Linked DNA regions of Macaca mulatta. Each later gene encodes a partner of the first gene's protein in a complex. Links are inferred from orthologs where the notes say so. Each region holds a gene or a part of one and is shown on either strand. Other genes may lie near its edges.

Region 1 (4,543 bases):
CTATTACATGGCAAACTGGCTACCATCATTAACCCCTGGCTTTCCCCTTTGCTGCAGTTAATCCCATAACCACCCTGTGAGGTGGATAGTGCCACCCTCTTTTGACAGTCAGGGAAACCAAGGCTCAAGTTACACTGAAAGTCTAGGACACAGGTGGGACCAGAATCTTGGGGCTTTTCTCCCAATAGAACCATTCCCAGCCACGTCTCCAACCCAAGCCTCTCTTGGAAGCCACCCTATCCCTCTGAATGCATAAGCGTTGCAATCCTGCTTATGTGGCCAGAGGAGGGTGAGTACTCTGGCCACATAAGCCGGTGTGAGGAGATGCACTTCCTGCTAGGGCAGCTCAGGGACCATTACAGCCCCTTCTCAACAGGCAAAACTCTGTGGCGCCTTGGACACTGAAGTGCCACAGAGATCTTCTTAGCATCAGCTCCTGCACCCCGCCCTCCTCTAGCCAGCCAGCCATGTGTACTCACAGATGTTGCCTCCTGGGCTCTGGGGACTTCTCTCCTTGGGTGAATCCTGCTGCTTCATGTTCTCTTCAGAGTTCGGGTCCTCCATGGTGCTGGGACCCTTCTAGTCAGGAGAGGAGCGTGCATGAGTGAAGCTGTTCATCTGTTACCAGTCTTAGAGGGCACCCTAAGTCTATGACCTTTGACATCGCCATAGGCTCTCCTTGCCTGCTTTTGACCCTTACGACATACTATCTCCTTGAACTCTAATTGATGGAGTTCTTGCTAAGAGAAGCTTCAAACCTCCCAAAAGACTTCCTGGGTTTGGGACTCAAGAGTCTTTTCACTGGTGTGACCTATGACCTGCTGCATCAAACTAACTCCCTGAACTCAGCGTGGGAGTCTTGATCTTTGACACCAGCGTCATCCCAGTCTCAAGTATCTTGGGGCAGGTAGTGATACCCACCCTTTATTCCAGTTCTTCCCGGGAAACATCCTCTGACATCCTGTGATTTTTGTTCCGCCCAGAGCCCCCGCCTCCCACGCGCACTAGCAGCTGCTATCCCGCTACCCTCAAGCGCTGCCTACAGGTTCCTGCTCCCAGGCCTCAGTTTTCCTCCGTACAGCAGAGGGCTGCCTTTCGCTGCGCCTGTCAGTCGCTAGCTACAGCCCCGCCACCCAGAGAGAAGTGGGATAGCCCACTCAGTCTCAGGGCCCCCGTGGTTTCCGCGCCCTTTTGCCAGATGAGCCTCTCGGAGCCGAGATCCCGGATTTGGCATCCGGCAGTAGTATAGTCGCACCAGTCCGGTCCTCAAAATAACGGGAGGGGTCCTTCTCTGCACTATGGTGCGTTATGATGACGTTCACCCTCCCGCGGCGTAGGTACCGAAGCTTTTTGCGCAAGTCTGGGTAGGTGCTCGTGGTGCGCAGGCGCGTTGACTCCTTCATTGTTCGAGGCCCCGAGGCCGCCGAACAGGGGCGTGAGCACTTCGGCCGTTCTGCGCAGGCGCTGCGAAGGGCTAGGTCTCTGCGGTAGCGCTTCCAAGACACACCCCCTTGGAAGAGGGAGTGACGTCAGGTTAAAGCTACTGGGACGCGTCCCGGCATCTTTAAATCACCGCGCCCTGGCCTCTTCGGCCTCCGTCCGCTGCGGCCGAGGGGTCGGGCTTCTCAGTTGCTGACCCACCGCCACCGACTGCGCTCATCCCGTGGGTCTGCTTTTTGCTCGGTTTGTGATGTGGAAGGGGGAAGGGGAAGGATAAAAATAACAATGCGTCCGAGGGAGGAGGGACTGGAAGCCAGATTTCTGAGGTTTTATTTTTATTTATTTATTTTTGAGAGAGTGTCTTGCTCTGTCGCCTGGGCTGGAGTGCGGTGGTGTGATCACTGCCCACTGCAGCCTGCAACTCCTGGGCTCAAGCGATCCTACCGCCGCAGCCTTCCGGGTAGCTGGGGCTACCGGCGCACGCCACCATGGCCCGGCTAAATTTTATTTTTTGTGGAGACGGAGACTCTACCAGAGAGTCCCACATGTTGGCCAGGCTGGTCTCGAATTCCTGGCCTCAAGCGATCCTCCCGCCTCGGCCTCCCAAAGCACTGGGATTACAGGCATGAGCCACCGCGCCTGATTTCAGAGTTTTTGAAGCAGAAAGGGAAACGTTTCCATCTAGAAAGAGGGCGGACAGACAGGGCGCCTGGAATCCCTGGGGAATAGGGTCTGGGCTCTGGATTTTTTAGGTCCTGGAGAGAGACACTCAAGAACCGAAGGGGACCGGGGGGAGGACTGAGGCCTTTGTTCCGAGTGGGGCGGCTAGGAAAGGAAAAGGCTAGGTGCTCCCTGACCCAGGTCTTCTCCACCCGTTGCTTTCCAGCCATGCCTCCGCCGCAGGGTGACGTGACCGCCTTGTTCCTGGGGCCTCCTGGCTTGGGGAAGTCCGCGCTGATCGCGGCGCTGTGCGACAAGGATGTGGAGACGCTCGAGGCCCCCGAGGGACGGCCGGACTCCGGGGTTCCCAGCCTAAGAGCTGCGGGCCCAGGCCTTTTTCTGGGCGAGCTGAGCTGCCCACCTGCAACGCCGGGGCCCTGGGCGGCTGAAGCCAACGTGCTGGTACTGGTGCTGCCCGGACCCGAGGGGAACGGGGAACCCTTGGCTGCAGCCCTGGGAGAGGCAGCGCGGGCCGCCCTGGCCCGAGGGACCCCGCTACTGGCTGTGCGGAACCTCCGTCCTGGGGATTCACAGACTGCGGCCCAGGCCCGTGATCAGACAGCAGCTCTGCTGAACAGCGCGGGGTTGGGAGCTGCGGATCTGTTTGTGCTACCGGCGAACTGCGGCAGCAGCGACGGCTGCGAGGAGCTAGAGCGCCTCCGGGCGGCGCTGCAGAGCCAGGCAGAAGCGCTGCGGAGGTGAGTGCTTTCTGGCTTGGTCCCTTAGTTGAGACCCTGCACACCTAGGTCCTATTTGAGATCCATGAGATCCCTTCCCCAGTGAGTTTGGGGCAAAAGCTTAGCTCTATTATTATTATTTTTTTCCCAAGGGACAGGGTCTCGCTACGTTGACTAGGTTGAATTTGAACTCCTGGCCTTAAGCAATAATCCCGCCTCAGCTTCCCAAAGTGCTAGGATTACAGGCGTGAACCACCACACCCGGCCTTTTTTTTTTTTTGAGACAGGGTCTCACTCTATCGCCCAGGCTGGAGTGCAGTGCTGCTATCCTAGCTCACTGAGGGCCTCCACCTCCTGGACTCAAATGATCCTCCTGCCTCAGCCTCCAGAGTAGCTAATAGGACAGGCTGCAAAACAGGATCTCACTGTTTCCCCAGGCTGGTCTTAAATTCTTGGCCTCAAGCCATGCCCCCACCCAGGCTTCCCAAAGCCCTAGGATTAAAAGGGAAAATCTTAACACTTTATCTGCTGGGGCCCTGAGGCTCCTTTTTCTAGGCCCTGCCCCAAGCAAGGTGATCCGCCCTCCCTGGCCTCCCAAAGTGCTGGGATTATAGGCGTGAGGCACTTTGCCCAGCCCCCTGGAAGATTTTACCTGAAAACTCTAATCCTTGAGCCCTCCCCACCATCAGTTTGGTTTTCAAGTGACCTAAAGCCACACCAGCAATGAGGATCTTGGGGCATCCTCATCCACCTCCTTTCTCCAGCTCCCTCTCGTTTCTGTGCCCACTTGCTGGCTACCTCCTGAATTTGCTCTACCACCTGCCAGCCTCCTCATTTTACAGACTTTAAAATGAGGCTCAGAGAGGGACAGTCCCTTGTCCTAGTACACTATCATCTTTTTTCCTTAGCCTCACCTGGTGGGGAGTCACCTTAGCCACTCCCCCTTGGTAAGAACTAGTAGATGAAATTTCTCCCCTCACTGACCCTCCTTAGGCCCAGCCTCTGAAAAGAGTGCCTTGGCGACCTTGTCTGTCTCAAATAGTGCTGGACTTGTGTTTAGGCCACAATACAGTTGCGATTCTTTGTTCTAGGCCCCACCTTCTCTGAGTTTTGTCCCACCCAGCACAGCCGACCCTTGGAAAAGCCCCGCCCCCAAATACTGTATTCCATGGAAGTCTTAGCCCAATCCCCATTTTAGGCTAGAGTGGGAAACCTGCCCTTAAGTCCACCTGTTCAATAATCAAGACTCCATTATTGCTTGAAGCCCCGCCCATATCATCATGGCCCCTCCCCATCTGGTTTCTGTTTGCCTTGCCGTCAGTCTGGCCTTTCCCTTTCCTATCCCTGCCCCATTCTGGGATCATTAGGAAAGCTCCGCCCTTGTCATTCATAGCCCAGTCCATGTCACCCAGCCCCTCTTCTGCCTTTGACCCTGACCCTTCTTGTCCCCACAGGCTCCTGCCCCCGGCCCAGGATGGCTTCGAGGTGCTGGGTGCAGCAGAGCTGGAGGCTGTGCGTGAGGCCTTTGAGACCGGCGGCCTGGAGGCTGCGCTGTCGTGGGTGCGCTCAGGCCTGGAGCGCCTGGGCAGCGCACGGCTAGACTTGGCCGTGGCCGGCAAGGCTGACGTGGGCCTTGTGGTGGACATGCTGCTTGGATTGGATCCTGGCGACCCAGGTGCTGCGCCTGCTTCGGCGCCCACGGGGCC
Region 2 (4,498 bases), on another chromosome or scaffold:
AAAATACAAAAATTAGCTGGGTGTGGTGGTGAGTCCCTGTAGTCCCAGTTACTCGGGAGGCTGAGGCAGGAGAATCGCTTGAACCCAGGAGGCAGACTGTAGTGAGCTGAGATTGTGCCACTGAACTCCAGCCTGGGTGACAGAGCAAGACTCTGTCTCAAAAAACAAAAACAAAAACAAAGAAGCAAACAAAAAAACTGTTCTAGTTGCTCAGACACACAGTTTTAAAATAACAAAAATACTTTTAGAATGAAGCTAGATTCCACAGCATCAATCAGGAATTTCCAGTGTAGGAAATGATGAACTACCATGTTCAAACATACAGGCTTTACAGGTGCATCAGAATCACAAGCACGTGGCAGAGTTCATGTGTCCAATTAAGTGAACATTCTTGCTACATGTTCAGCAGCTTATAAACAGATGGTGACCCACACCAGACTGCCTTGATGACTCTGCTTGGAAAAAAGGCATTACGTCACTGACTGGAGAATCTCAAAGCATATGTCCGGGCAGGTGACACACACATAGCTCAGGCTGTGATTGCTAAACCACTTCCACAGCCAAACGAGGAAAACCATCTCATGACCAGCTCTCAGGGGAATTCTCCGAATCTGACAGTCACCTCTAACTCCTCTGCCAGCTAAGATTAAGGGGTCTGTGATCAGTGATGTTACACTCCTCAAATGTGCATTTTTTTTTTTTTGAGGCAGAGTCTTGCTCTGTTGCCCAGGCTGGAGTGCAGTGGTGTGATCTTGGCTCACTGCAACCTCCACCTCTGTGGTTCAAATGATTCTCCTGCCTCAGCCTCCCGAGGAGCTGGGACTACAGGCGCCCGCCACCATGCCTGGCTAATTTTTGGGGTTTCACTACGTTGGCCAGGTTGGTCTCCAATTCCTGACCTCAGGTGATCCACCCGCGTCGGCCTCCCAAAGTGTTGGGATTACAGGCGTGAGCTACCGCGCCCCGCCTCAAATGTGCATTTGTGATACCTTTTCGTAAATGTTTATTCAAATATTTATTCACGAATAAAGCAAGAAAATGGGATTTGTTTAAATTCAATTTCTAGGTCCAAGGCAACCTATTACAGCTGTCCCTAATACTGTACCTCCGGGTTGTCCTCAGTGCCACCTCCTACAGTGTCCTCAAACACCACCCCTACCATACTGAGCCCCCAATCTGTCACCCCTCCGAGCAATACTCCCCAACTTTCAACGCCCTAAACAGCTCCTTTGTTATCGCCAAGCACTAGAAACCCCTCATGTCATTCTTACCCCTAAAGACCGTTCTTGTCACCAATTCCCCATTCAGACTTTCCCTATGAACCGCTCTAAGCGCTCTCAACTATCAGCCACACCCCCAAACAGCCCTCAGTAAGAGCCCTACACTATCAGCCAGACGTTTCCCGCCACCAACGCTCCCGAGACCCCACTCCTGTCACCAGTTCCCCGAACATTCCTTCCTGGGGTCGCAGATGCTGCTCACAGATGTCCCCGTAACCAACTTCATCACCTCCGTAGCCTAGGATCCTCCGAGGGGGCCATCCGCTGCCCCGCCCCTTTACTTGCGGCCCGGCCCCTTGGCGCGGCGTCCTGGCAAATAGCGCCGGAAGCCCCGCCCCCGACCGGTTGCTAGGCTCCGACAGCCGGAAGTCCCGCCTGCCGTGTAGTCGCCGCCGTCGCTACCGCTGCTGCCGTCGTTGTTGTTGTGGTCGGTGCGCTGAGCTCCGCGGCTCCGAGAGCCGGTTCCGTCCCTTTCCCGCCGCCGCCATGAAGTGGATGTTCAAGGAGGACCACTCGCTGGGTAAGCACTTGGCCGTCGGCCGGGCTGCTGGTGGCCGGGGCGGCGGGTGGGCCCCCTCCCCCACTGTGGCGGCCCTGGTTCGGGTGGAGTGGGGCGGATGCCCTGCTCCGGTCTCGAGTCGCCCAGGCCCTGGTGCCTGGGGCAGCCGCCTCCTGACCCCGTGTCACCCTCCGCGGGCCCTGCTGGGAGCAGTAGGGGACAGGACCGCGGCCGCAGGGACGCCGGAACCAGGGCCTGGGCTGTGCGCAGGGCGCAGGAGGAGGAGGGCCGGGGGCCGGAAACCGACCGGGGGGCAGGCGCAGCCGTCAGCCCTGTTTGTTTCTCCCACAGAACACAGATGCGTGGAGTCCGCGAAGATTCGAGCGAAATATCCCGACAGGGTTCCGGTGAGTGTTTGGACTCTCCGCCCCCTCACCTCGCTGTCACCTCTGTCGTCTGGGACCCGTAATAGGCCCCAGGCCATTCAACAGTTGACAAGTTGAGATTCCAGTCCCAGTTAATAGTAACTGACAGGCCAGACCGGGATGAGGCGTTCCAGGGCCGGGGTGTGAGGGGCTCGGGCTGGTGCTGTTCAGGGTGCCTCAGTGCTGAATCTCCCGATCTAGGCCAGCGAGCCGTCTGCAGCCTCGGGGCTCCCTGGCCAATTATGTAAGGAACGATGTTCTAGGACAGGGCAACAGGTCACTGCCACTTTTGGGAATGGTGGTGGAGCGAGACTGTCACTTTGGTCTTGGAAGTGGTACTTGAGTCTCAGGACGTTCATCTTTTACTTTGAGCCTCCATCTTTACCTAACTTCTAGCTCCGTTACCTCACCTTGACCCTGTCATCCTTGCCTGACCAAAATAATGTGAAAAGCGCTGAAAACCCTTCTGCCATGTTTTCTTCTTAGTCAATAATAAATATGATGTTATATTTCTTTCATGGTTGGGGAGACAGTTTTGTAATCCTTATTAATTTTTAATGGACATTAAGGCCTGTTATTGTAGCTCTTTGCTTGTGAATAATTCGTCTCAGGAAAGGAGTAGGAGGGACGGATTTGAAACTTGTTCAGAGAGGAGCAACAGGCCAAATGAAGAGCTTGGTTCTTGACTGGCTGAAATTCCAGGCATTCCCATTAGTCCATCCGTTCTTGTCTCCTGTGTTCCTTGGGAACACAGTAGTGTTTCTTGTAGTGTGAAGGTGGATCCATTCTGGGGTCCTAGAGTAACGGACCATGGATGAAATCCTCCCCAGATACTCTTAGGTCTGCCCAGATAAAATGTGGAAAAGCTTAGTAGTAAGGGCTGCATTTCTCTTACATAATTGACCACAGAAAAGCACTTACCGTTTCCCTATAACACATTTATATCAATTCTTAACCTCCAGAGCGTGTGGTTTATTAAGCCAAAGACATATTTTCTCCTGCTATGCAGTTTCCCACCCACCTCCTTGCCCACACTCTGTTCGTCAGCTCCTCAGCCATGTGAGGCCAGAGCCTCCCTTTAGGAAACGCAGTCCTGACCTCTCTTTACTTTCCCAGGTGATTGTGGAAAAGGTCTCAGGCTCTCAGATTGTTGACATTGACAAACGGAAGTACTTGGTTCCATCTGATATCACTGTGGCTCAGTTCATGTGGATCATCAGGAAAAGGATCCAGCTTCCTTCTGAAAAGGCGATCTTCCTGTTTGTGGATAAGACAGTCCCACAGTCCAGGTGAGAGGTGTTTACTAGATGGGCCCTCTGGTATTAGACATCTGGTTGGCTGCTTATGAAACTCCAAACCTTTGGAAGTCTGAAAACTCTTAGGGGTCCTGACTAGAAATCTGTATTTTGTGCTCCCTGACATCAGGGGCTCCAGGAAAATAATGGCTGCAATACATAAGAGTGCATTTTGGATTCACAAAATAGAACAAGGCCTGGACTTTAAAAAAAATGATGAAACTCAGCCTAACATCTCCAAGAATCTTTTAAAACAGTTGAGAACTTATTTAGGCTTAAGCTATAGGTAGAACTGAGGCCTGAAATGAGGTTTTCTTTCCCGAAGGCAGTCCTGGCACGCTCCTCCACTGGGAGCCTGTGGGCCCTGCTGAGGCTCACTCAGTTAATCATCCAGTTTGCTTGCTTCCAAACTTGGTCAACTCTTTGACATTGTAAGTGTCTATAGTTGCCTGATCCTCAAGTCTGACAAAATGACTGCTGCACAGTAAAGGGCTCTGAAGTCTTTTTATAGACTCATACCTCCCTTGGTAGCACCTGCTTTGACTGTCAGACTATTGTGCTGCCTGGAAGCAATCTTTGGGACTGTAACTTGTGGCCTGAATGTAGGCAGAGGCATTAGAATTCCCCTTTTCTGTGTATTTGATAGCCCAGCTTTAGTCCCCTGTGGAAAGAGGAAAATGGAGGGGCTCCGTCTGACATCCTAGTCAGTCCTTTCCCATTACTGAGTGGGTAGTTTTAGGCCCTGATCCAGATTCTGGCCCCCACCTCTCCCCTGAGTGTGAGTTCCTGGCCACATCTTATCTTAGTGACCCAATGTAGGTTTCATATACCACCCCCAGAAGTAATACTTCTAAAAGTGAAGGCTTTCAGAAGCCCTGGAAACTAGCCCAATGTTGCCCACATAGGTTCCTGTTGAAAATCCTTGAAGTCTCCAGAAGAGGCCTCTGCCAAATTCCAGTTACTTACTTCTGTTAAAGGTGGAAAGCTCTGGCTATTTTT

Evidence for each region.
Region 2: the proteins of IRGQ (region 1) and GABARAPL2 are in contact, whole or in part, in a crystal structure (PDB 8Q6Q), measured with the Homo sapiens proteins. The link is inferred for Macaca mulatta from reciprocal best matches to the Homo sapiens genes IRGQ and GABARAPL2. Residues at the interface, in NP_001007562.1 of Homo sapiens: Asp7, Thr9, Leu11, Pro47, Leu49, Phe57, Pro70, Trp71, Glu74, Pro181, Ala182, Gln183, Asp184, Gly185, Phe186, Glu187, Val188, Leu189; in NP_009216.1 of Homo sapiens: Ser10, Glu12, His13, Cys15, Val16, Glu17, Ala19, Lys20, Ile21, Ala23, Lys24, Tyr25, Arg28, Pro30, Lys46, Lys48, Tyr49, Leu50, Val51, Pro52, Phe60, Ile63, Arg67, Phe104.

Annotation. Positions count from the first base shown.
Region 1 is NC_133424.1:56,010,089-56,014,631, reverse strand, and holds the start of IRGQ (immunity-related GTPase family Q protein), read left to right. Parts: upstream 1-1,642; 5' UTR 1,643-1,683; intron 1,684-2,326; 5' UTR 2,327-2,328; coding exon 2,329-2,858; intron 2,859-4,291; coding exon 4,292-4,543. Other genes in the region: ZNF576 (zinc finger protein 576), read right to left, coding at 480-564. UniProt on the Homo sapiens protein: Autophagy receptor that specifically promotes clearance of misfolded MHC class I molecules by targeting them to the lysosome for degradation.
Region 2 is NC_133425.1:70,918,678-70,923,175, forward strand, and holds the start of GABARAPL2 (gamma-aminobutyric acid receptor-associated protein-like 2), read left to right. Parts: upstream 1-1,642; 5' UTR 1,643-1,766; coding exon 1,767-1,800; intron 1,801-2,130; coding exon 2,131-2,186; coding exon of another isoform or gene 2,187-2,244; intron 2,245-3,295; coding exon of another isoform or gene 3,296-3,320; coding exon 3,321-3,493; intron 3,494-4,498. UniProt on the Homo sapiens protein: Ubiquitin-like modifier involved in intra-Golgi traffic. Modulates intra-Golgi transport through coupling between NSF activity and SNAREs activation. It first stimulates the ATPase activity of NSF which in turn stimulates the association with GOSR1.